4 linked regions of the Schizosaccharomyces pombe genome follow. The gene in region 2 interacts genetically with the main gene of each other region. Each region holds a gene or a part of one and is shown on either strand. Other genes may lie near its edges. The genes, in order: ssu72, set3, png2 and wdr7.

The links.
Region 1: mutations in set3 (region 2) and ssu72 together harm fitness more than expected from each alone (negative genetic interaction), as found in Schizosaccharomyces pombe (3 studies listed by BioGRID, with this or other methods).
Region 3: mutations in set3 (region 2) and png2 together harm fitness more than expected from each alone (negative genetic interaction), as found in Schizosaccharomyces pombe (2 studies listed by BioGRID).
Region 4: mutations in set3 (region 2) and wdr7 together harm fitness more than expected from each alone (negative genetic interaction), as found in Schizosaccharomyces pombe (2 studies listed by BioGRID).

What each region holds. Positions count from the first base shown.
Region 1 is NC_003424.3:3,175,628-3,179,654, forward strand, and holds ssu72 (RNA polymerase II CTD phosphatase Ssu72), read right to left. Parts: upstream 1,635-4,027; 5' UTR 1,504-1,634; coding exon 1,421-1,503; exon of another isoform or gene 1,372-1,420; coding exon 861-1,371; 3' UTR 800-860; downstream 1-799. Other genes in the region: spa2 (GTPase-activating protein), read right to left, coding at 1-102, 151-279, 366-432; rpl2301 (60S ribosomal protein L23), read right to left, coding at 3,835-4,027. UniProt on the Schizosaccharomyces pombe protein: Processively dephosphorylates Ser-5 of the heptad repeats YSPTSPS in the C-terminal domain of the largest RNA polymerase II subunit (rpb1).
Region 2 is NC_003424.3:5,038,652-5,045,138, forward strand, and holds set3 (putative histone H3 lysine methyltransferase Set3), read right to left. Parts: upstream 4,094-6,487; 5' UTR 3,831-4,093; coding exon 1,251-3,830; 3' UTR 895-1,250; downstream 1-894. Other genes in the region: etp1 (monooxygenase-ferredoxin fusion protein), read right to left, coding at 1-452; ribosome biogenesis protein rlp24, read right to left, coding at 5,146-5,580, 5,828-5,966, 6,017-6,021. UniProt on the Schizosaccharomyces pombe protein: Transcriptional regulator that acts via the formation of large multiprotein complexes that modify and/or remodel the chromatin. Required for both gene activation and repression.
Region 3 is NC_003423.3:1,119,505-1,124,166, reverse strand, and holds png2 (chromatin modification family protein Png2), read left to right. Parts: upstream 1-2,205; 5' UTR 2,206-2,217; coding exon 2,218-2,269; exon of another isoform or gene 2,270-2,309; coding exon 2,310-2,381; exon of another isoform or gene 2,382-2,428; coding exon 2,429-3,222; 3' UTR 3,223-3,506; intron 3,507-3,562; 3' UTR 3,563-3,585; downstream 3,586-4,662. Other genes in the region: GTPase-binding protein Rid1, read right to left, coding at 34-566, 635-782, 921-1,339; Cu chaperone Atx1, read left to right, coding at 3,986-4,061, 4,185-4,315.
Region 4 is NC_003423.3:2,268,211-2,275,273, forward strand, and holds wdr7 (WDR7-like protein), read right to left. Parts: upstream 5,043-7,063; 5' UTR 4,985-5,042; intron 4,748-4,984; 5' UTR 4,567-4,747; coding exon 4,301-4,566; intron 4,221-4,300; coding exon 3,108-4,220; exon of another isoform or gene 3,065-3,107; coding exon 1,363-3,064; 3' UTR 1,358-1,362; downstream 1-1,357. Other genes in the region: SPOM_SPBC16H5.14C (DHRS family dehydrogenase), read left to right, coding at 392-786, 838-968, 1,023-1,357; SPOM_SPBC16H5.12C (uncharacterized protein), read left to right, coding at 5,863-5,874, 5,929-6,091, 6,400-6,511, 6,571-7,063.

The sequences.
Region 1 (4,027 bases), 1.9 Mb from region 2:
CCATACAAAGATCCCGAAGCCTTGTAGGAGCAAGACTAGAAAGTTTTTGTCGAGCATGATTCCGCTTGGGATGATAAGAATCAACAGGAGGTAAGAATCTGACTATAAGGGGTTAGAATTGTAGACTCATAAGAGTGTAAATCAAAATACCTTTGGGATCATTGTTGATCCTACGCTGTAGTTCATCAGCAACGTCTGTTAAAAGTTCACTGAACTGAATATGAGACAAACGCTGAAGCTTTTCACGTGGCCTCGCATTGGCGTTCCTTAGGGCTGGGTCTATAAAATAGCGTTAGAGGTGATTACATTGTTTCCGTGGGTCAAAGCAATTGTACAGCTTAATTTTAAACCAATTTTTAACATACCTTTAACAAATTCAGGCTCTAAGTAACGAGCTAAAAACCGATATTGACGAATAATAATACTTTGCATAGTTTGAAAGCAAATTTAAGACTAGGGATTTGAGGAAAGAAGTTGGAAAAAATGAGCTTTCTATCTTTTTCAGGGAATTAAATGATATGTCCTTTCTTTTACGCTGACTTGAAAAAGATAGACTGTGTAAATTAACTTAAGGCAGTTGTACTAATACAATGGGCAAGGACGTGCTGGACCCTAAATTAATTTGATATAATTTTTCTGTGAATTAAATTTTTAAAGAAAAAGTCTTTAAAATGCCTAATGTACTGCCAAACACATTAACAGGCAAACGAGTGCGAAGAGAAATCTTCTATCTAAAAATATTACTGACAGCTTTGCGTCCTTGCCAATTTACTGTGTTTATTACTTAGAACGTTGTAGATATACTAGGAGAAAGGACATGCTTTATTAAATTCGATAACGACGTGTAACGATAAATGATATTAAAAAAAATGAATAGTATACAATACAGGAAGTTTAGGATGGTTAGATTGAAAGTCGGCCATTATAGAAGGGAACAGCTCTTCCAATTTATCCTGTGCCTCGGTTAATTTGTTGACTAAATCGAGAATGGCCTTTCCACCTACGCTGGCCTCCTCATGGTTATCTTTAATGTCAACGTTTATTAAGTACACAGGTCGATTCAATGTTTCACCTCGACGATACAGATCCTCACAAATGGCATCATAACATCTTTCTTCGCAGGTTATTACAATGTTGTATATGGAATCTTGGTCCTGCCACCGACAAGGAGCGCGCTTTATACGGCGATTTCGGTCAAGCATTTTAAGCAATCCATTGGCCGTGTATAGCCGGGAATCCTGGGCCTCGAGCTCTTTATAAATTTCATCATATGGATACCCAAATTGATAAATGTTAGGTTTGTCAATACTGGGACCCGGCAACCGTACAGCTGAACCTGTTCCGAACGAATCAACTTGGTATCCAGCATTCCTTCAATGGAGATTAGCAAACTACCTCATAAAATTCAAAAATGACATACTTTAAGACGTTGTGAGCTTCCATACTTCGATTTTGGTTCGAAGCACAAATTACACTGATCTGGAGGTTGGTTTTGGGAGCCATTATTTGGTATTATTGTTTACTGACTAACGTTGGTAAGGCTTTAAAAGGTTTTACTTTCCTTTCTTTATTATTGCAAGATTTTTATCTTACTAAATTAGACATACAGCCAAAGGTCCAAACTCGTTCTTTGCAGTGTATACAATATGACACGCTGTAAGCAACAGCCTTTCAAAATTACCACGCTGCTTTACGATGCGATATATCGATATGTTGCATCACAAAAGCAGAGGCTCTTGAAATGAATCTCATCTTTGCAGAGTATAATTTCTACTTTAATTAATTATCTTAAATGTTTTATAAAAATAAAAATTCTCCACGTTGTATTCGTCTGATAGCAATTTTTCAAAGATAGGGTTTGAATAAATACGTCTATACTCCACTACCCATACTACATTAATGATTGTTAACTTTACAAAATTATGCCTAATTCAAAAACTCCTTATTATAATATTAATAATAAAACTACTCATCGCCAGCACTTTAAAAAGCCGTATAAAATTAGTGAGAAATCATTGTATTGTCAAACAAAATTTGCGGTTGGATCAATCAACAATTCTTGGCTGTTAATCTCAAAATGAATAAAGTTCAAACATACAAACTGGCGTATGAAGCATTAAGTTTTGAGCTGATCTACTTAGAGTAGTTTCGTACATACCATACTCTTTCATTTCATTTATCGCTTAAGATTTCCAAGTTTTGAGTATTATATAGGGTAGGTCTTCAATCTTTGTGACTGTTTCAATAAATTCGATTTAGTATATATTTTGCATAACTTAACCAATTTTAATTCAACGCGAAATGATGACTTTAGGCATTTGTCCAAAGGATACAACTTCAGTTATTGAATTAGTACCACTGTAGACAAAACCCTAGCTACCTTTTAATTTTGTCTGATCGTGTGTAAAACGTTTACGACAATAATGATTAGCTTAGTTGAAGATATCGCGGATACTGAAAAATATATGACCAGCCTAAATAAAATCGGTGTATGTAATTTTGTCTTGAAAAGCTATAAAGTTACTGTGTGGTTAATGCAGTTTTTCGTTAGTAGAAAATACAAAAATCAGGTTCACTCAGTAAGCTTCTTAAAGTGAAATATGACATTCAACAGTACTCATTAATTTTGCGAATCGAAACAGTTAGTGACTTGCCTTAAATATAGTCAGTAAATAAGAAAAAAAAAAGAAAATGTAAAGGCACATCATATTATGCAAAGAAGGACTACGTTGCTATAATGCATGCAAACCATATCCAATAAGTAAAAGACGTAGATGCTATTTCTATATCAAAAGAAACATATTCACATGTTTTATATACAAAGAATCCGTCAGAAAAACCATACGTGCTAACTGGCAAATCGGCTCTTCCCATAAGTAGACGATGATCTTGCAGCGTCACGGTATAATCCTAATCTAGTGATTTCGTTCCCCTTTTCTAAAGCTTTTCTCGTTCGCTGGACTTTACGCCAAACAGACTTCTCCTTTTTAATATACCATATGTTTCAGTTAACTGATCGCGCAATTCAGGCTTAATAAACGGTAAGCAGTCTATATTTCTTTTTCTCTTTCGCTTCAAAATAGAGCTTTAATTTAGTTATTGTGATCAAATAGTCTCAATTATTCGTCTGCTATGAAGAATGTCAAAGCTGTTACGGTTATCATAATTAAAACCACTAACACTGACAAAACTGTTATTTCTTTTGATCTCTTGAGCTAACTGAGTAGACTTAATCACAGCGCAATTTTCTTTGCTTTCGTGTCAAACGATTATGACAAACCATTGTGGAAACATTTTGTACATTAGCAGTTATTTATTCTGCGCTTTCATTATTTACACCATTCGCCAAATTAGACCATCTTGAAGTGCAAAGTAGTAAATACATACGCTTCATGTCCAACGAGTAACAGTAAGAGTTCAATGAAAAAGGGGTCTAATACTTTCCGCTTTCACTATTTTATGTTGCATTTAGGGAAAAAGTTATGATGAGTAAACACCAACTAAAATTGACCACATAACTTAATATTGGTTACAGATTCACTGGACAAGCACCAGAAGTAATTTGCATGTATAGCAGTGAAATAGAGACTTGCTAAAATACAGTTAGTTAGTACTTGCTCACTTATATTTGTAAAGTCGTGTCAAAGTATTTAGACAGTCAAACATTTCAAATCTTTACTTATCCAAACACGTTTACGGCTACGCCATGATAAACTATAAGTCAAAATAATTCTGATTGCAATTACTACTTTTCAAGATTCTAACAGCAAGAATTAACCCTTAGATTTTGTTGACATTGTCTCGTAATCCCAAAATATTATTCAATAAATGAATTTAAACTACAGTACCGGCATTAGAGGCAATACGAGGCCAAAGGTCAGCACACTCCTTAGCAACGGGACCAGTGATTGCAGAACCCTTCATTTCACCCTTAGGGTTGACAATAACACCGGCATTGTCCTCAAAGTAAAGATAGACACCATCCTTGCGGCGCCAAGCCTTACGCTGGCGAACAACAATAGCAGGC
Region 2 (6,487 bases):
TCAAATTCTTGGTTCCATTGTTCATCAGTAAGAGGAGGAATTACGCCAGTGATGGGCTTCCATTCAGTAATACTTAACCCGGATTCAGTTAGTCTAGTAATGCCACCTACAACAACAATTGCAAGAACAAGAGCAGAAGATCCAAGCAGCCAAAAGGCGACCTTTTTACTCGGAATTTTTTCGGTTTCCTGTAGGATGCCACCTGGTGTAGGAGCGACTGAGTTACTCAGCCGGCGAGCAAAAAACTTTTCAAATGAATTTTTATTAAACTTACAATCATTCAAAAATAAATTCTTAGTCCGTGACAAATTAATTTCATTTAAAACACTCGATCCAGAGAAGCTCCTGCTCATTCTCCAACTTGACCTTCCAAGGCAAGAAATGTCGCAGCCTTTCCGTAAGGGCTGAAGCAGGAACTGTCTCATCAGACCTGATGAACGTGAAATGTTCATTGGTAATTGTTTACTTTTGTTTGCGTTTCGCTTAAAAAAGTAGGTTCATGGAGAGAGAGGAATGGTACCTAACCTCCCGGTTCTATACCACAATAATCTAACGGCGCACTTTCAGAGTCGCTATAAGTAGACAAGCTATATTAACGTAGGCCGTTTGATATATACAAGATCTGAGTGGATCGTCGATGAATAGTTTAATTTGATGCGACAATTCGCTGAAATCTGCACGTAGCATATTTGAATCGATGTTTATATTTATGATACTTAATACTCAAAATGTACTAGCTTCATTTGCGTATCCAAAAAGTTATTTAATCTAGTACATGTCGCATACGGAAATAGCTGACATCTTAAATAGTTAGTTCTTATAATCTTACGAACCGAAACTTCTATATGACAAACATAAATCATTTAACTGCTATAAATTAATATTATTATATTGTACAATGTTCTAAACGTGCAAATTAGGAACAGAAAAATGCAACGACTGAGGGTTCGTTGCTCTGAATCAAAAGAAACTAAAAAAAAAAAAAGGAACTAGAGTTTTCGCCCAAACACTTAGTCATTAAATATTTACAAACGAAGAAGAAAAGAATGCAGAAGCAGGTGACAGTAAAATATGCTCCGAGTACCAATCATCATAATAAAAAAATGAAATGAAAATACATATGAAGGTAAAAAGATGCAGTCATCGTACCAACTTTAGAATCGTGAAAACTTGTTCGTATACCATATCCAATAAAAAAAATCATCCACACATTTATATGGTTTCAAGATTTACAACATCTTCTAGAATTTTTATCGCGTAAATGAAGGGTTAGAAACTGTAGCAGCAGGAACGGTGTGAGGCCTAGCTGTATCGCCATGTGCTTGATTATCCTTCGACTGTTGATGCAGAATGTTTTGTTGACGTCGTTGTCGATACTCAGAAAGAGATAGCTTCTTCGGTGCTGAGGTAGGAAGAGCAGAGGCTGAAGTGTTACTAGGCTTGACTACACTTCCTTGGACCAGATTCGAATTGGGCTTGTTTTCGCTTCTTGAAGTATTTAACGCATTCGAGATATCATCACCGTTGTTGGCTTTGTGGTCCAAAATGTTTGGATTGTTCGTAGGAAATTGGTTGTTTACCAAAGCATGGCGACTCGTTATAACTGGTGCTGGAGCTGTCGGCAAAGGAGGCGTAGTTACAGGAGATTTATCAAACGAAAACCCGACAGGACTAACCGAAGGTGAATGGGATCGAGTGCCATTCTGTCTAGAAAAGTTAACGTCAGAAGACCTTTGAGTGTCGTGAACATGCGATTTATCTTTTACAGTCCTTAACGTATTAAAAAACATGGACCCACTCTTTTCTTTACTCGACGGCTCGAGTTTCAATTTTGAATCTGAATTTCTATGGAAAGAAGGATGGACCTTATGTGGTCTGTCACCTTTAGTCTTAAAGGCTTCCGGCTTCCTTTCGATAGATAGCGATCTTTTATTATAATCAGGTTTGCCATGAAAATCATTTGCAATGCTACGGCGTCTTTTAACTGACGGCAAATGATCAACAGAACCATGCTTTTTGTGGACTGTCGTAATAGTTCCTAATCCTCTTTTGCAAGGAGAAGTTTTGTCCAGCATATCTGGGCTTGTTCGAGGATGTTGTAATGGTGAGGCTGATCGCCTACTTAGTGATTCTCCAACATTAAAAGATGGAGGAGTTGTAGGGGTTATCGAGGATTCTTCAGGTTCCTTTGCTTTTTTCAATGGACCATCGGATTGTAATGCAGCATCGGGTGAAATGGGCGATAAGACGTCTGCAATGCCCACCTTAGAATCAGTGTGTAAATCAGCAATATCAGTTTTCTTGTCCCTATTAGAGGAATCTTCCTCAACAGAGGGTAGTGGAGATTGTAAATCTTTAGTTGGTTTTTTCTCCTTCACAGATGGCTGTAACTTCGGCTCCATGACTACATCGATTCCTACACTTTCTGTGGGTAATGACTTAACAGCAGGCCATTTTTGCAAAATACTAAGACGGTACTTATCTAACCAAAACTCTTTCAAGGATTTGGCATAGACCGATGTGGGGTTTGAAGGTTGCGGTAATGATTCAGCAGGGCTAGGGGTAGAAGGGGTTGAGGAAGGTGTCAGAGACAAACGGTCTTTTGCTACACTGACACGGTTTGCAGTAGAAGCGCGGCGGGCCGCTTTAATATATTTAGTAACTCTGGAAAAAACACAGTTTTTCTTATCCTGTGAGGCACATTCGTTAAACGACAGGAAGGTAGAAAGCACTTCTGAAAGTAATTCCAACTCTTCCATATTGAAGGAGGGTCGCGACATACCAGGCGCAAACTGGCGAAATGGATGGGAAATATCGAGAGTCCAATCCCCAATAATCTCTGTTTCCGGAGCTATGTGAGTAGTTGAATAGAGGATAAATCGAGGAACACTGTTAGACCCATTCATGTAAACACTTGAAACGACGGAGTTTGACTGACAACCTTTACGCGCAAACCTCGCTTTTGAACCAGCAACCCGTGAGTCAACAACAAGCTGAGAATTTGAGTCAAAAAAGACATGTGGCTTAGGAGCCCCCAAAATATTGTACTGGTTTTTGGGATCACTTTTGTATTCATTCTGCGTACAAACCCTTCCTTTCACCTCCATAATGGGTGTATTTGGAGGAATTTCGCAAGTTGACACCAAACCAAAGCGACTACAACAAAACTTTGAAGATGATATAGGTACGACTTGGCATCCATCCATTAAAACTTCGGATTCATCTAAATTCTTTAAATCCAAATTCTTAGAATACTCAAGCGCAGATGCAGAAAAGGTGTTTGATTCCAAAGGGACGTATTCCAAGTGAAACGAATACACATATTCGTTAGAAGCCTCGGTGATTGGAGCCTCTGGTGGGTTGTTAAGGTGGTTGGATCTTCGTCTGCGATTCTGAGAATGTGGAGCATGAGCATTGGGCAATGTTGCACCAGTCACACTGTTACGATAAGACCCCGAGTTCGAAGAGTTGGTAGACTGTGAAAATAAAGCGCCATTAGCGCCTGTGTTATTGCCTTGTCTCGGTGACGCAGAGTGTGTAGGACTAGCACCATTTTTGCCAAAACTAGTTCTTCTCTTGTTGTTGGAAGAACGGGATCGCGATAATATCCTAGACTGCTCTTCTTCGCGCTGTAACCTAGCTAGTTGAATTTTATGCGCCTTGTCGGCATCGATAGGACGAGGTTGGCATTGTTCACAAAAATATTTTTCAGGAACATTATTTGCATCTATGTTTACACAAACGGCGTGTTGCCATACCTCGCAACTTTCGCATTGGATGGTGAATCCGTCATCATCCTCGAATGGACAAACGCATCGTATTTTCCACATGCTAACTTAACCAAAGAGAAAACGATCAACTTATAACAAAGTAAAGAAGTATTTCATAAACGCTAATTTCTGTACAGGAGCAATTTAACCTTGGAAATTACTGCTTTCTTATGAAAGCAAAGATTTTAGCCCCAACTATACCAATGGCTATCTCGATTATCTGAACTCTCCTAAAACTAGGAATCTAGTATATAAATACTCGAAAAACCATGTAAGTTGAACAAATACTCTGTTTTCAATTTGCATACGCGATTTTGGTAGTTGATACGACGTCGCGATTATTCCGCTCTTCAACATTTCCATCCACCGAGTGTAAACACACGTCCCATAAACCACGTTTCCGCAGTCTAACGTCTCCTCGGTAAAAACAAAGAGAAGAAGATGTTGAAGAATAGTTCATTTCTCTATGAAACTTCTCATTTTACATATTTTAGAAGGTAATAAAACTGTCAAGGAGTTTTTAATGAGTCTTGCTAAGAAACCATTTTGAAAAAAAAAAATCATCTACTAAGACAATGAGTTGAGATAAACGGCAGGTGCAATGTGTCAGTAGTTAGCTAATGTATGGTGTTAGTGAGTGTGCGCAAGCAATCGAAAACGTCAATAACGGACTCGCAACTCTAAAGAATTAACAACCTTTAGCATTGGACTGTAGGGTTTAAACAGCTTTACAAGGAGAGGGATCTGTTTTCATGAGTTCCACAGTGATATGAGACTTGAATAGGCTTGTCAACTATAGAGAAATGTATATGCAAGGAAACCAGCATAAATGACAAAGTCTTTACTGTTTTATGACTTACTAAATATACCTCATGGAGAATTGAATCCAAATAATGAAGCAATGTTCTATCGTTCTAGTAGAATTTTACATTTCGAAGAGGCATTTGTGATAAACGAAACTAATAATATAAACCAATTTATTCCTAAACAACCATTTTTCAAACTGTTAGACTGTTGTATCTTGTACAAGCTCCAAACTGAAGATAGGTTCGTTTACAAGTATGTATACACGAAAATCCATTATTAACCATATTAATCTGCACGTAGCATGCAAGTCCAAAGAAGTAACCAAACGAGAAGAGAAGCCGAAACCAAATGCCAACTTTAGATATGCAAGATAAATTTTAAAAAACACGTTTTCGAAGTGTCTAAAGAGTTCGAAAGTGTAAGAAAACCACTCCCCAAAAATGTCTTCTCTTCTACTATTTTGTAAATTTGAAAGGAATAAAACAATAAAATAAAATAAAATAAAAGAACGAAGCGGGACGCAACCAACGGAAGATCGAGAGTTACATTTTTGTAGGAAGAAGAGTGTTTAGTCCATTTGCATGGCTGAAGATGAGTTTCGAGATTTCTTGTTTTTGCGTTTTTTGGCGAGGACGGGAATCTTGACAGGTTCTGCAACTTCTTCTTCCATGGTATACTCCTCGTCGGAAACAATTTGGGGTTCTTGTACCTCAGCAGTTTCAACCTCACCTTCGGGTTCGGTAAATTGAGGAACATTTTGAGCAATGAGTTTTTGAGCTTCTTGAAGCTCTTGGGCACGTTTGCCAGCCAATCTCTTTTTGTAAAACAGACGCTCTCTCTTGGCATGAACTTGGCTAACCCGTTTCATGGCATTCAAAGTAGTTGCAATGACATTACGGTCGTAACGAACAGGAACATTTCTACGAGCTGCGGTAACTGCGAGAGCTGTGTCATAAACCATTTCCTTTCCATGTGCCTTACGGTACGCTTTGGTCCAAGCAACCTAGACATTGAAGTTAGTATACATACATATAGGTGGAAGCAAAACATTTAAAAAAACAATAGAAAACTTTCTTCGTTCATGGGCATATAAAGGAAAAAGTACACCATTTAAGGTAGAATTTGAAGAAGAAAAGTATCATTTCAAAACAAGGCAACAGAAAAAAATTTTTCCTCTTTCAAAATCAATCATCTTCCTCAACCAAGTCTGTATAACGTTTTTGCATTCCTTTATTATAAAAAAAACATACCTTACGAGGATTGCGCTTCATTTTGAAGTTCTTATGGCACTTGCTGCGACAGAAACGAAAGACCTTGGAGTCATTTCTAACAAACATTATTCCATGTCCTGGGTAAACAGGACCCGAGCAGAAATAGCAAGTATGTACCCTAAATTTCCGTTAGTAATAAATACTTTGAAGGCATTTAGCTCTACAAACCTCATATTCCCCCTAAATTCTTTCCCGTCCTTGTATGTTCAAGTTGGCTAAGAGCAGGTAAAAATTCGCGCTCCCTACAACGCACATATTTGAGATGCGAGCTTCTACTTAAGCTGCGTTTTGCGAATTCCAAATATGCCTTATCTAATTTATGATATATCGTTAGGTTGCGTTATTTAATGAAATACCATCTCGGTGAAGTTTCGAGTGAATGGTCTCGGACGCAATCTTAGGAACCTATTAATAATAAATTTTATCTTCAATTTTTGTTAACTCATATCGCTTCTTTATCAAAGGCGTGTCTACGCCAAAAAAAATAAATACATAATATTACCGAGGTTAATTGCTTTTAAAAACACAATCCCTCTATGCATATGCAGTTTACTGGATTGCAATAGGATACATAGACGCACGATCTTAAAAGGTATTTTACAGTATTCACGATATTTGAGCTTTTGAAAAAACGATCCC
Region 3 (4,662 bases), on a different chromosome or scaffold from region 2:
CTGCTTATATAAATATTGAAAAAAATTGCTTACCTGCTCTTTCGAAACCGTAACCCCATGATTCTTTCTAATCCACTTAGCTGGAGTTCCAAACGTTTTCTTTGACGTTTCTCTAAAGGTAAGCCTTCGAGTAATTCATTAATAAGATGGATGTGAGCTGCAACATAGCTGGTGGCTTCGGTTTCTATACCACCAATAAACCCCAATGGAGCCTCGTACACTTGATTATATTGTTTCTCCAAATCAATGACATTAGAATCGTGGTTCCACACCCAGAAGACATTACGGCTAACATCTTCAAGTTCGATAATCCAACGGCGAAAAGGTCGATCAACTCGAACGTTTTTTAAGAATTCAACCTCTTCATCCTTATCGTCTTTAATAGAAAACAAGGAAAAAACTTGCATTGCACCTTCTTCTTTGTCGAGATGAGCTTTGTAAAAGGAGTGAACTATTTGAACGAGTACTTCCCTTACGACAAAATCACATGGCTGTTTCTTTGAAAGCAAAAGGGAAATCAATCGCTCGACATTATAAGTGGATTGAGATAAACATTCCAATCCGCGCTAGGAAAAACGTTAGCAATTGTCAAAGGCAATGAAGACATAGGTCTAAATGTATATCACATGCATACCTGAACAGTGCACATGGCTTTAACGCAAAGTAAAAGTTGCTCCAGTATAGAATCGTGCAGTTCCTCTCTCCATTCAAGGCGAGAGATTTTGTCGATTGTACAAAATACTACACCGAAACCGCCGTTGTGTATAAACTTCTCTACCCATCTGTATTGCAGTTAGTATGAAAAACCTCAAAATAAACGAATGATTTATCATTCAATCAAAACAATAGTAGTGCCAAAAAAAAAGATAATTTAAGCATCACCACTTTGATTCACGTAGCTGCACAAAATGTAAACATACATTACTTGCTCGTTTCTGAGAAGTAGAGCTAATTTGTGTATGATAGATTCATCGATTGAGTCAATTTTTGTATTTACAATATACGAAATAAAGTCGTCAGGTTGCTCGTAACATGGTTTTTTACGCATCCAAGCAATTAATTTATTTCGCTTTTTCTGGTCTTTTTGCTGTAAACTGGACACGATTTCCATTTTAATTCCTTCATTAAGGGAAAGTAAACTCTTTGAGGCCTCTGAAGAAAGAACTTGAGGCTTGATTAAATCTTCAAAACATTGTGGCATTTCATCTTCAGAAGGGGTTGAAGGAGTCTGAAAGCTCAAGCTATCCTCTCGATCAGAAGAATTAACGCTTTCAGAGAGCCCATCAGAGCTCAAAGAGCGAGCACCTAAAAGCCGTTTTACTGAACGTAGAGAATTCATAATGTGTGTAAGGAATAGTCGTGTGGTATATTTACATAGAAATGGGAGGGCTGGTATATATTAAAATGGCACGCTGACGCGTCCGAGGAACAAGCCACAGGAACATGAAACGGACAATATCGGGAATTAATTCAATAATTAGGCTAATACGCGGAACGGTTGTTCCAATTTTTAATATGTACAATACTAAGCTATGGCCCTAGACTTAGGGAAGGAAAATAGCACATGAATGTTCGAAAAAAAAAAAGAGAAAGCTTCCGTTATTTAATAAACCATACTATTTACGCCTATCATTATTTTCATTAATAGCTATACATAGTAAATCCAACTTGCAAAATTTTGAGATTACGCGTGTTGAGTTAATGTTTGATATTGGTATATACACTATCGTATGTAAGTCAAATGAGAAGAATGGAAAAATAAGAATGTATTGAGCTTTAAGATATAGTAAATCTCGGTCTATTTTGGGTAAGAATTTTAATATGTACTTCTCAATTATCTGGAATTCACTGAAGGTTGTGAAAAGGAAAAATATTTCGGACATCCAAAATTTGCTATTATAATGAAGGTGCAACTAACTGAGTAGTAGAACCGATATCTAAAATAAATTGATTATTTGGAAATGTATGGTTAAACAAGAAGGCTCATATTACCTGAACTAACATAATGTCGTTAAAAATTACAGTTCAAAGCAGTGCTGAAATTATACTAGAATTCTGGTACATTAAAACGCGTCGCTTATAATAGAATCACTTCTTTCTATCAATAGATTAAACATACAATTTTGCTATTTCACGTAGGGATGTAGTAAAGTGAGAGAAGTAGGTGGGACATACATTTCCTACTCAGCACAACGTAACGTGCTTAGTGTCAATATCATGGGGACGAGTGGAATTGAAATATTTGCAGCTTTAAATGATTTCACAGATGGTAAGAGGCGAAAATAAACACATTGATTAACATTTTACAGCCATTGTTTCAGTCCCTGAATCAGTATGTGGAAAATTCACGAGTTTGAAAGAGATCGATGCACAAGTACGAGGTAAGTGAAATATATATTTTTAAAACGTGTGGTTAACAAAATCTTAGATATCCGTCAAAATGTCATACAGGAAATTGGTGTGGTTCTAAAAAACGAGAAAAATGACGAATTGTCAGGAGAAGAAAGATGTGAGCGATTACAAAAGACACTAAAAGAGATACTTCCATATTCTGATTCAAAGATTTGTTTGGCCACAGACGCAATGAATAATATCAAGAGTTGTATCGACCGTTTGGATGCTGGGTTTGAATATGTTGAATTGGAGATTCCCCAACAATTGAGATTGGGATATCCAGACGATCGAGCTTTAATGAATTATCATTCTACTGTGACTCCTCAAACTTCTGAAAGGAGACGGGAAACCCGTCGGCATCAAAATAACCAGCATTCCCAGCAATATTCCTCTCAGGAACGGTCGTCTTCATATAACAACTTTGAAGACGCTTCATCGCCGCAATCTTCTTATCACACCCCTACAAAGCGTCGAAAAAATGCTGTTCCTAGAAAATCATCATCACCTCCATTATCGAGTACAAAGCATGCGCCGCAATCTACGGAGAGGCGACCAGTGCGGAGATCAGAATCTCGTTTAAAACAGACAAATGGGGAACCACTTGTCAAACACGACACATTAGATTCAAGTGATATCAGCCGTGAAGGTGAGCAACTTTACTGTTACTGTCAACAAGTTTCCTATGGACAAATGATTGGATGTGATAACGAAAATTGTAAAAGAGAATGGTTCCATTTACCTTGCGTTGGTCTAGTAGAACCACCGAAGGGGATCTGGTATTGTAAAGAATGTGAAGAGTTAGCAAAATCATCTGAAAGTCGTCAATGAGCCGGGATCCTTTTTATTTTCTTTCACCTTCTTTTTATTGTTAATTTCTCAGTGTTTGACATCGTTATGAAACATCCATTACCACTGCTTGCATTGCTCTTGTTTACTGAATCAATTAAACTAACGACAACATTTCTATACCTCATAAAACCCTTATAACGATTTTTATGGTTTCGTTAAAGGATACAACCATCAGCTACGTATCTCGGTATACTATTTAATGATATGTAAAACTACGGTGTGTTTTGTTTGCAATCTACAAAAAGCGGATGCAATATGTATGAGTAAGTAATATTATAATTATTTTTATTAGAAATTTGTTAGTAACTAGTCATTGAAGTAAGGAAGCAATTTTAGGCGCAAACTTTATTAAATTTTTTCTTTGAATTTGTTTTGTTAGCTTACATACTTGTTAATAAATGGAAATTCCTTCATGCATGTTTCAAAAGCGAATTTAAATAGTATTCAAAGTAATGACAAATAGTGATACACAACATAGTGTATCATAGCTTAGTGCATTATTACTGACACACATCTATAGCAAATATATCTCTCTCGTTATTTTTTTAAGGATACCTCCTTGCATTACGTCTAAATGCTTTTACTAATGGATTTTCCAACTTATCGTTTCCCTCCTTCTCATCTAAAGTAATTCTTAAAATTGGGATTTTCTTGAATTTTAAATACTGTTTTTATTTGTGTTACAAAAAAGTTAATTAACAGTTTCTTGTCCAAATCTCGTTGAATTTTTGATCATCTGATAATGAAGTACCAATTTAACGTTGCTATGGCTTGTGATGGCTGCAAAAATGCCATCGATCGCGTTTTAACTCGTCTGGGTGCGTTTTAAAAAAAGTCATTTTTTAAGTATTTAGATTTACATTTATATAAGTATTTGTTATATATGGTTTTTCAGGAATTTTGTTGATGAATCTGTGTACTAATTAAGTAATGTCGAGTAGGTGTTGAAGACAAATCCATTTCGGTCGAAAAACAAGAGGTTATCGTTACCACAGACAAACCATATGAGCTCGTAGAACAAACGATTAAAAAAACTGGAAAGGAAGTTCGCAGCGGTAAAGTCCTAGAGTAGAGCATGGCAAAAATTACGACTTTAATCATATCTGATCGGTTCTCTCAAAAATATGCTCTTGACTTTTTTGTTGTCGCCTTATTGTTAAGATTTATATATACGACTAGACGAGGCTATTTGTTTTGTAGGATACAGCGTACTGCTTGAGCCTTTGGTGTTATTTTCCTCCAATAAATTGTGATAAACTTATAGACGTTTTCCGGTTCATTTCAATTGTCTTGGTAAGTTGAACCCCGCTTTACATGCCGTTTGTAATATTTATTGTGATCATTGTTTATTATCAGACTGCACTTTCAGTCATTTTGTTGCTATTTTTTGACTTAGGAGTTTTCACTTATTTTTTTTAT
Region 4 (7,063 bases), on a different chromosome or scaffold from region 2:
TTTGACTCTATAAGACTAATCAAGTTAAGATCAGGATGGGCATTCCATTTTTCGTAGTACGGATTGAATAATTTAGTTAACAAGTTCAATACAACATTGGCGATACTGATCAAAACTTTATTATATAAGTTTATAAAAGCAGTGTTCAACGATTTAATGAATTATTCTACTACGCGTGATTTTTGCTTACACTAGGAAATAGCTTTTGTTTGGCAGCATCTACTAAGGTTCTCTCCTTGACTTCGTCAAATACGATATTAGGGTCTTTAGACGATCAGAACTTGGACGTTAACTTATTCGAAACACAAAAGAGTTCGCTGCTAATGTTAACGACTTTCTGCCAAGTTTCCATTCAGCAACTTATCATATTTTTCACAGAAGTCATTCCCTGATGTTGAATCATATATTATTATTGGTGATTTCGCTTGTTTGTGCTGCCTTAACCCTTTCTTGGTTTCCTCTACTTTTCAGGAAACAATCCTATTCATGTGCTAAAGGACTGATTGTGATAACAGGAGGAAGTGGGATTCTTGGTCATGCTATTATTCAAGAGGCGTTGGATAGAGGCTTCAGCGTCGCCTCTTTGGACAGTACTGAGCCTGCATCTTTTCTACAGTACAATTCTAAATTTAGTGCTTTGAAATGTAATATTACCAAAGATAAGGACGTAGAAGGATGTGTCCATTCTTTGAAAAAGATGAACAGGACCCCTTTTGCTCTGATCAATGCTGCAGCTATTGCTCCAAAAAATCATTTGCTGTCTATATCAAGACAAGAATTACAAAAGTAAGTACAGGTTAAGCGTAGTAAGCCTTATTTTCTAACTGCTTAATTTAGATGCTTTGAAACAAATGTGATCGGACAGCTGGCAATTACATCTGCATTATTTCCTCTCCTTTTACAAGATCCAAATCCTCATGTGGTCAACATAGCATCCTCCTTGGCTTATTTTAGTGCGATGGGAGTCGGTAAGTGGGGTTGATTTTATAAAATTTGCTTTTCCTTTCTAACGTGATTAACAGGTGCCTATTCATCTTCAAAAGCGGCACTAGTTTCGCTACATGAAACATTAGAGGAAGAGGTTTTATCACAGCATCCCAACTTCAAGTTTTCTCTTTATGTTTTAGGGCAAATTAAATCTACAATGTTCGAAAAAGATACCCCAAACAGAGTATTAGCCCCTCTACTAGAACCTCAAAACTTAGCAAAAATTATTATTCAAAACTTATATACAAACAAATCGGGTCGTTTTTACTATCCATTTTACGCACGTTTTATGCCTCTACTGAGGTTTTTCCCACTTCCAATACAAAAATTGGCTCGTCTATTTAGTGGCATGGATAAAATTTATTCATAATCCACCTACAAGTCAATGATAGCAAAGGTGCTCCCAATATGGACTTCTGCTGATGACTGGCTAATCCATAGGACTTCAGGAATTTCAACCTCATTCGTTTTGTTAGTTTGTAATAATATACGTTTTCGGATCGTTAATGAAGGTGTTGATAAGTTCAAGAATTTTACGAAATCTTGGCTGTATTTCCAAATAATGCATTCCTTTTGCGTAGCACTGACTCCAACAAAATAGTCACCAGAAGGACTGGCGGACAATACCTGAATATCACATTCGGCGTTTTCCTTGCTGACGACTTTCCTTCTTTTAGCTATTTCATAAACCACAAGATCACCATCGTCAATGTAGGAATATTTTTCCACCTTACTATCAAAACATGCAAATGGAAATTGGGTTGCAATTGCGTTAGTAACGTCGTGAACTTCTTCAACCGAGCGGCTAGAGTAAAGGATTGGAAGTAATTTTTCCGTGATCAATTGATTAAATAAAGAAAATTCGGATTGTGTGTTTTCAATTGCCAAAGACACAACTTTTAGTATAACGGAACGTAAATTTGATTTCATTTGCTCATAAACTTCATCGCATAAACATGTAAGCAGTAAAACAGCATTCGAAACTGAGACATCCACTATTGATCTATAGAGAATGCTATTTTTATCATCCAAATCCTTAGTATTCTCTAAGGATGACAAAACCAGGTTGTATATAAACTTTGCAGGATCAATATGTTTTGAAAACACGGAAAAACCATTACTCAACAGGCGAATTGCTGTTAAGTCATAGTCCATACTTTCGGATTTTTGTAATAAATAGGAAGACAAAAATTTCAATTGTGAAACATCAAATGCTGAAGGCCGTAAACTGACAATTAATGACAAGATGTACAGTGAATGTTGCACCTCCTTTTTCAGATAGTACTCTCCACCTGTAGTCGTAAAAAACTCAAAATAATAATATATAAGCCTCTGAAGTTCCTCTGGAGATATAAGTTCCAATGTTCTCGACAACATTGATTTAATTATACCCTGCATAACCTTGCCTGAATTATTCCAGACGTATGAAAGAACGGAAATACTGTAATCAACCGTTTTCAGGTCTTTTAACTTTAATAATATTCCTTCAGTCAATTTGGTATCGCTCAGCCCATCATATTTACATAAAGGAACCATTAGAGAAAAATATAGATATAACAGCAAAGCGGAACAATTTGGTGCAGTATTTATTATTGACTTCATTTCGGTGTCAAATCGAAGTATGGCATTTCCATCTGGCTTACCCACACCAAGATGCAAACTGGATTGATCAAAAACAGTACCTAACAACTGATGCTCCATCTCTATATCAGAGTTTAGGAAAGGAGGTTGGATAAAGTCAAGGAACTCGTCAATATACGTTTTTTCTATGTAATTTTCATTAGAAAAATTGAGGTTCAGTACTAAATCATGAGCGTCTAAAAAAACAGTAACCAAATTATCGGTGAGTAAAGCACAAGAACCATGATACAAAGTAGGGAGGTTAGATTTATCAAAAGTACCAATAGATATGAACGAAGAGTCAATAATATCTGAATAATTTCCTTCAGAACATTTTTGATCCACAACGTCCCAATTTAATAGTTGAAAATTGTCATAAGCAACATAGATTTGATCTAAATCGGGAAATGAGTACAAAGTTTCAACTTGAGCACCATCAGATGGCAAGTAGCTTAGACTATAAAAGTCGATTAATAACTGATAACACACTGATAACTTACAGATTATAAGATTCATCCAAGGCACACAATGAGCCATCTAAACTCATAAAAATAAATAAGCCTGATGAACCAGAAGATAATGATTTCTTTGCATGAATAATTTTAGTAATTGAAGAAGATTGCAAAGCACGCTCGCAGAGAAATCTCCATCTTTCACCCTGAAGTTGTTGATAAAAGTAAGCCTTTCCAGTTTTGGTAGCAACAACTAAAATTGAGCGTGAATGTTCAGTTTCAAATATTTTCATATATGTTACAATTCCAGAAACCCTTGTAAAAGAGTAAAGAGGAGCTGGATCATTGTGAAGGTACCAGTCAAACAAAGAAAACATCACTAAACCAGAGGTTGTTCCAAGGAATAAATTAAGAGAGTCCGTATAAGCGTAGGAAACAGCAGCTGTATTGCTCAACTTACAAAGATTGCATGAGTCTACGGTTCCTTCTGTTAACCAATTGAAAGTTATTTTTTCGGGATAAACACACAAACTAACGGGTTTACTTTTTAAAATGGTGCACGATTTCCATGGAAAATCTCCAGAATACTTAGAAATTAATTCGAAATGAGGTTCAGGAGATTGATGAAGTTTGAGTAAAGTTGAAGACGAAAGAGTAAAAATACAAGCCGTGCCATCAGCCAAAACAAATACAGATGTTATCTCTGCAAGTGAATATGAAGCTATAAATTTCTCATGCGATTCCAATAGTACTACCGCATCCGAGTATACATATAGCGCATAATTGGAAGAAATGCAATCTGCTGGTACAACATCAATAACCTTACCAAAAGTTGGTTTAACATCTGCTTTTGTAACTGAATTTCTTTTAAAAGTAAGAGCTGACCAATCAACTGACCAAAGAGATACAGATCCATCTGAATAGGCGACAGGGATTAATAAAGCTTCGTCTTTGAACGGAAACAAAATAGGCCAGTCCTCATGACCAGTCCAAGTCGCAACTATCTGAAAGTTGGAGATTCTAATGAGATATATTTTCAAAAAGGTTCCGGTAACAGCAAGAAAGTTGTTATTTAATCTAAATAGCTTTAAACATAGCCCGTCACACAATTGCAAAGTAGCTCGTCGGTCACATGTTTTCAGTAGCCATTGACAAAGTAATCTGAGAAAATGTTAGCAAGAAATAAGTTAAATAATGAATTTGATAATTGCTGCTCGGCTAATGAGAGTTGCTCAACATACCCAGATTCGTCGAGTGTAATGATTGATAGGTCTACAATTCCATCAGCTTCAAATGGAAGGCAAACTATAGAAGAAACGGAATGTTTGTGTGCTATAAATGTTTGGATCAAAGTGAAATGATTGTCTGTAGAAACGTCAAATACCATGACTTGGCCGGAACATTGGCCTACTATCAAATACTGATCAAAACAATGTATTGAAGACACGTCAAGGCCTTCATCTAACAAATGAGTTTTACAGCTTTTCGACAATGCAACCCAATCCATTTTGATTCGCAATCAACAACGGTCTAAGGCTGACATCAATTTTGAACGCTGTTCGAACACGGCTTCCCAAATAACCACTCAATTCAGTAATTGTTAAACCTTTTTAAATATAAAAGTAATTGAAAACGCAGAAAATGAAATTAAAACAATATTTAGGCAGACTAACAGTTGCCGCGATATTCTTGAATGTAAAATTAGCAAATTCGGAACGCAAACGAATAAACAAGATGCAACAAGTATTTGAGGAAGAGAATCTAAGAAAAATGAAGAACTTGCAACAGCCATAGACAAGAATGTCTAACAAATAGCCATGTAAACAATTCGTCCATCCGTCATTTAATAGAATGTATGCATCGACAGCTCCGATTGTATCAATCATTACATAAATCTCTTCATTCTTGAATTATATACAACTTACACTTCTCCAAAATTTATACCACTGCACACAACTTCGAATTCCACTCGGTGGTGGGAATGTGCTGCTGTGCTACTTGAAGCACGCGAATACTATATGACCTAGTTGATGGGGCGATGCCCTTGCTTCCAAATCTTGACAATACTTAGTAGTAAGAATACAGCGTACAAACGAGTTTAAGTTATAGTAAACGAGCATTATTTAATAACACAAAAGAGTATTGTTGTACATAGAAAAAAACCGAAAAAATTGCTAACAGTCTTATTTTATTCAATTTGCCAAATAAACAGAACATTTACATACTTCAAATGTTGTAAATTTCGCACTGCAACTAGTATTCAAATCTCAACCTGGAAAAACGATATAACGAAATTGAAATATACTTCAGACTGTAGCATCATCTACTGTACACGAGGCAAACTTAAGTCATAGTATGTGTAAAATAAGTTAACAATTCCATTCCAAAGCTGCAACATTTAACATATACCCTAATAAACTCTGCCGTCCCGATTACCGAGCTTTCTCAAGAATTTTGTAATCCTTCATTGAAGCACCTTTTTTTTTCATATTTATATATAAATATATATATTAATATATACTAAATTTTATTTTTATTTTTATTTTTTGTGGAGTTTTATACTACAGAAATACAATTGTCACGTTAAAAATTTCAAAAACTATCTATTAACTGCTGCTTTTTGTGTATTTATATATTTAATTTACTTTACTTCGTTTGTGGTGGATCTAAGTTATAACATTACGAAGCAACATTCTCTTATTGTAGTAGGAAGTAGTACAGTGCCGAAACTGAGGCATCATCACAAAACCCTTACTCAACACCATTTACTGTTTTATCCGTTTCATTAGATTTTTACGATATAATGAGCGTGGATGTAAGTATAGATCTAATGAATCTTTGCAAAAATTTTAAACTAATTACATAAAAGACGGCTAAAAGTGATATTCAAGCGGAACCTTCAACTGGGACGCTGGAAAATAAATCCTCTAAAACGTACTCAGATTCCGAGAATAATTCCACGTTGGATGTTTCAGCTCAAGTACTCACATTGGATAATAAATCCAGGATCTTATGTATTGCCGATGTTCGAGGTAAGTATGCGTTGTTTATGGATTTAGAGCTGCCAGCGAGAATTCAAAAGCACCCCATCGGGGGAATTATCGACGATCGTTTTACTTTTTAAGATAAGAAGATGCGAATTTGTATGCTTTTGCATGAACTTATCCATAATGGCTTAGCAGGAGTTGAAGCGCAATTGCTCAATTTACTCATTTTGTCATTAAAGATCCTCGTTGGTTCGTAAAAGAATTTTGTCCATACACTTTATTCTCCTTAGCTATTCCTATCCTTAAAATTACTACTCTTTAATACGCGTTTTTACTAATAACTATCCCTTCAGGTGAACTGAGTTTAATAAATAGCCTGGTTGAGGAAACCAATGCCTCCTGTGTCATCCACACTGGTGACTTTGGATTTTTTGAGCGATCCTCACTTCCTAGCATATCTGAACGGTATGTTTTGTGTCAAAAATTTTTATGTTTCATTTTTCTTTGTTCTAACCTTTTTTCAGTACTCTTCGTCACATTGTCCAATTCTCGCCTCTCATAAAAAAGCTTCCTAGGTCCAAAAACTTTGATTATTATCCCTCGAATCCAATTGGGGATTTGAAGAATAGTATTGCTTCTCACCCCGATTGCCTGCTTTCAGAATTACCTCAATTTTTGTCACAAGAGAAGAAATTCTCAGTCCCTGTATATGTAGTATGGGGAGCTTGCGAAGATGTGCACGTTTTGGAAAAATTTCGTTCTGGAGAATATTCTATTCCAAACCTTAACATAGTGGACGAACTTCATTCCTACCTATTGCAAATTGGAGATATGAAAATCCGTTTACTTGGTCTTGGAGGTCCTTATGTCCCTTTTAAGCTTTTTGACAATGGAGACGGTAAAGGAACTATTGCTGGTGGCCAGGGTACTATGTGGACTACAATCCTTCAAATGGGTGAACTAATAGAAACCGCTAAGAGCCTGCTTGACAGAGAGGAGGCACGTATTTTTATTACG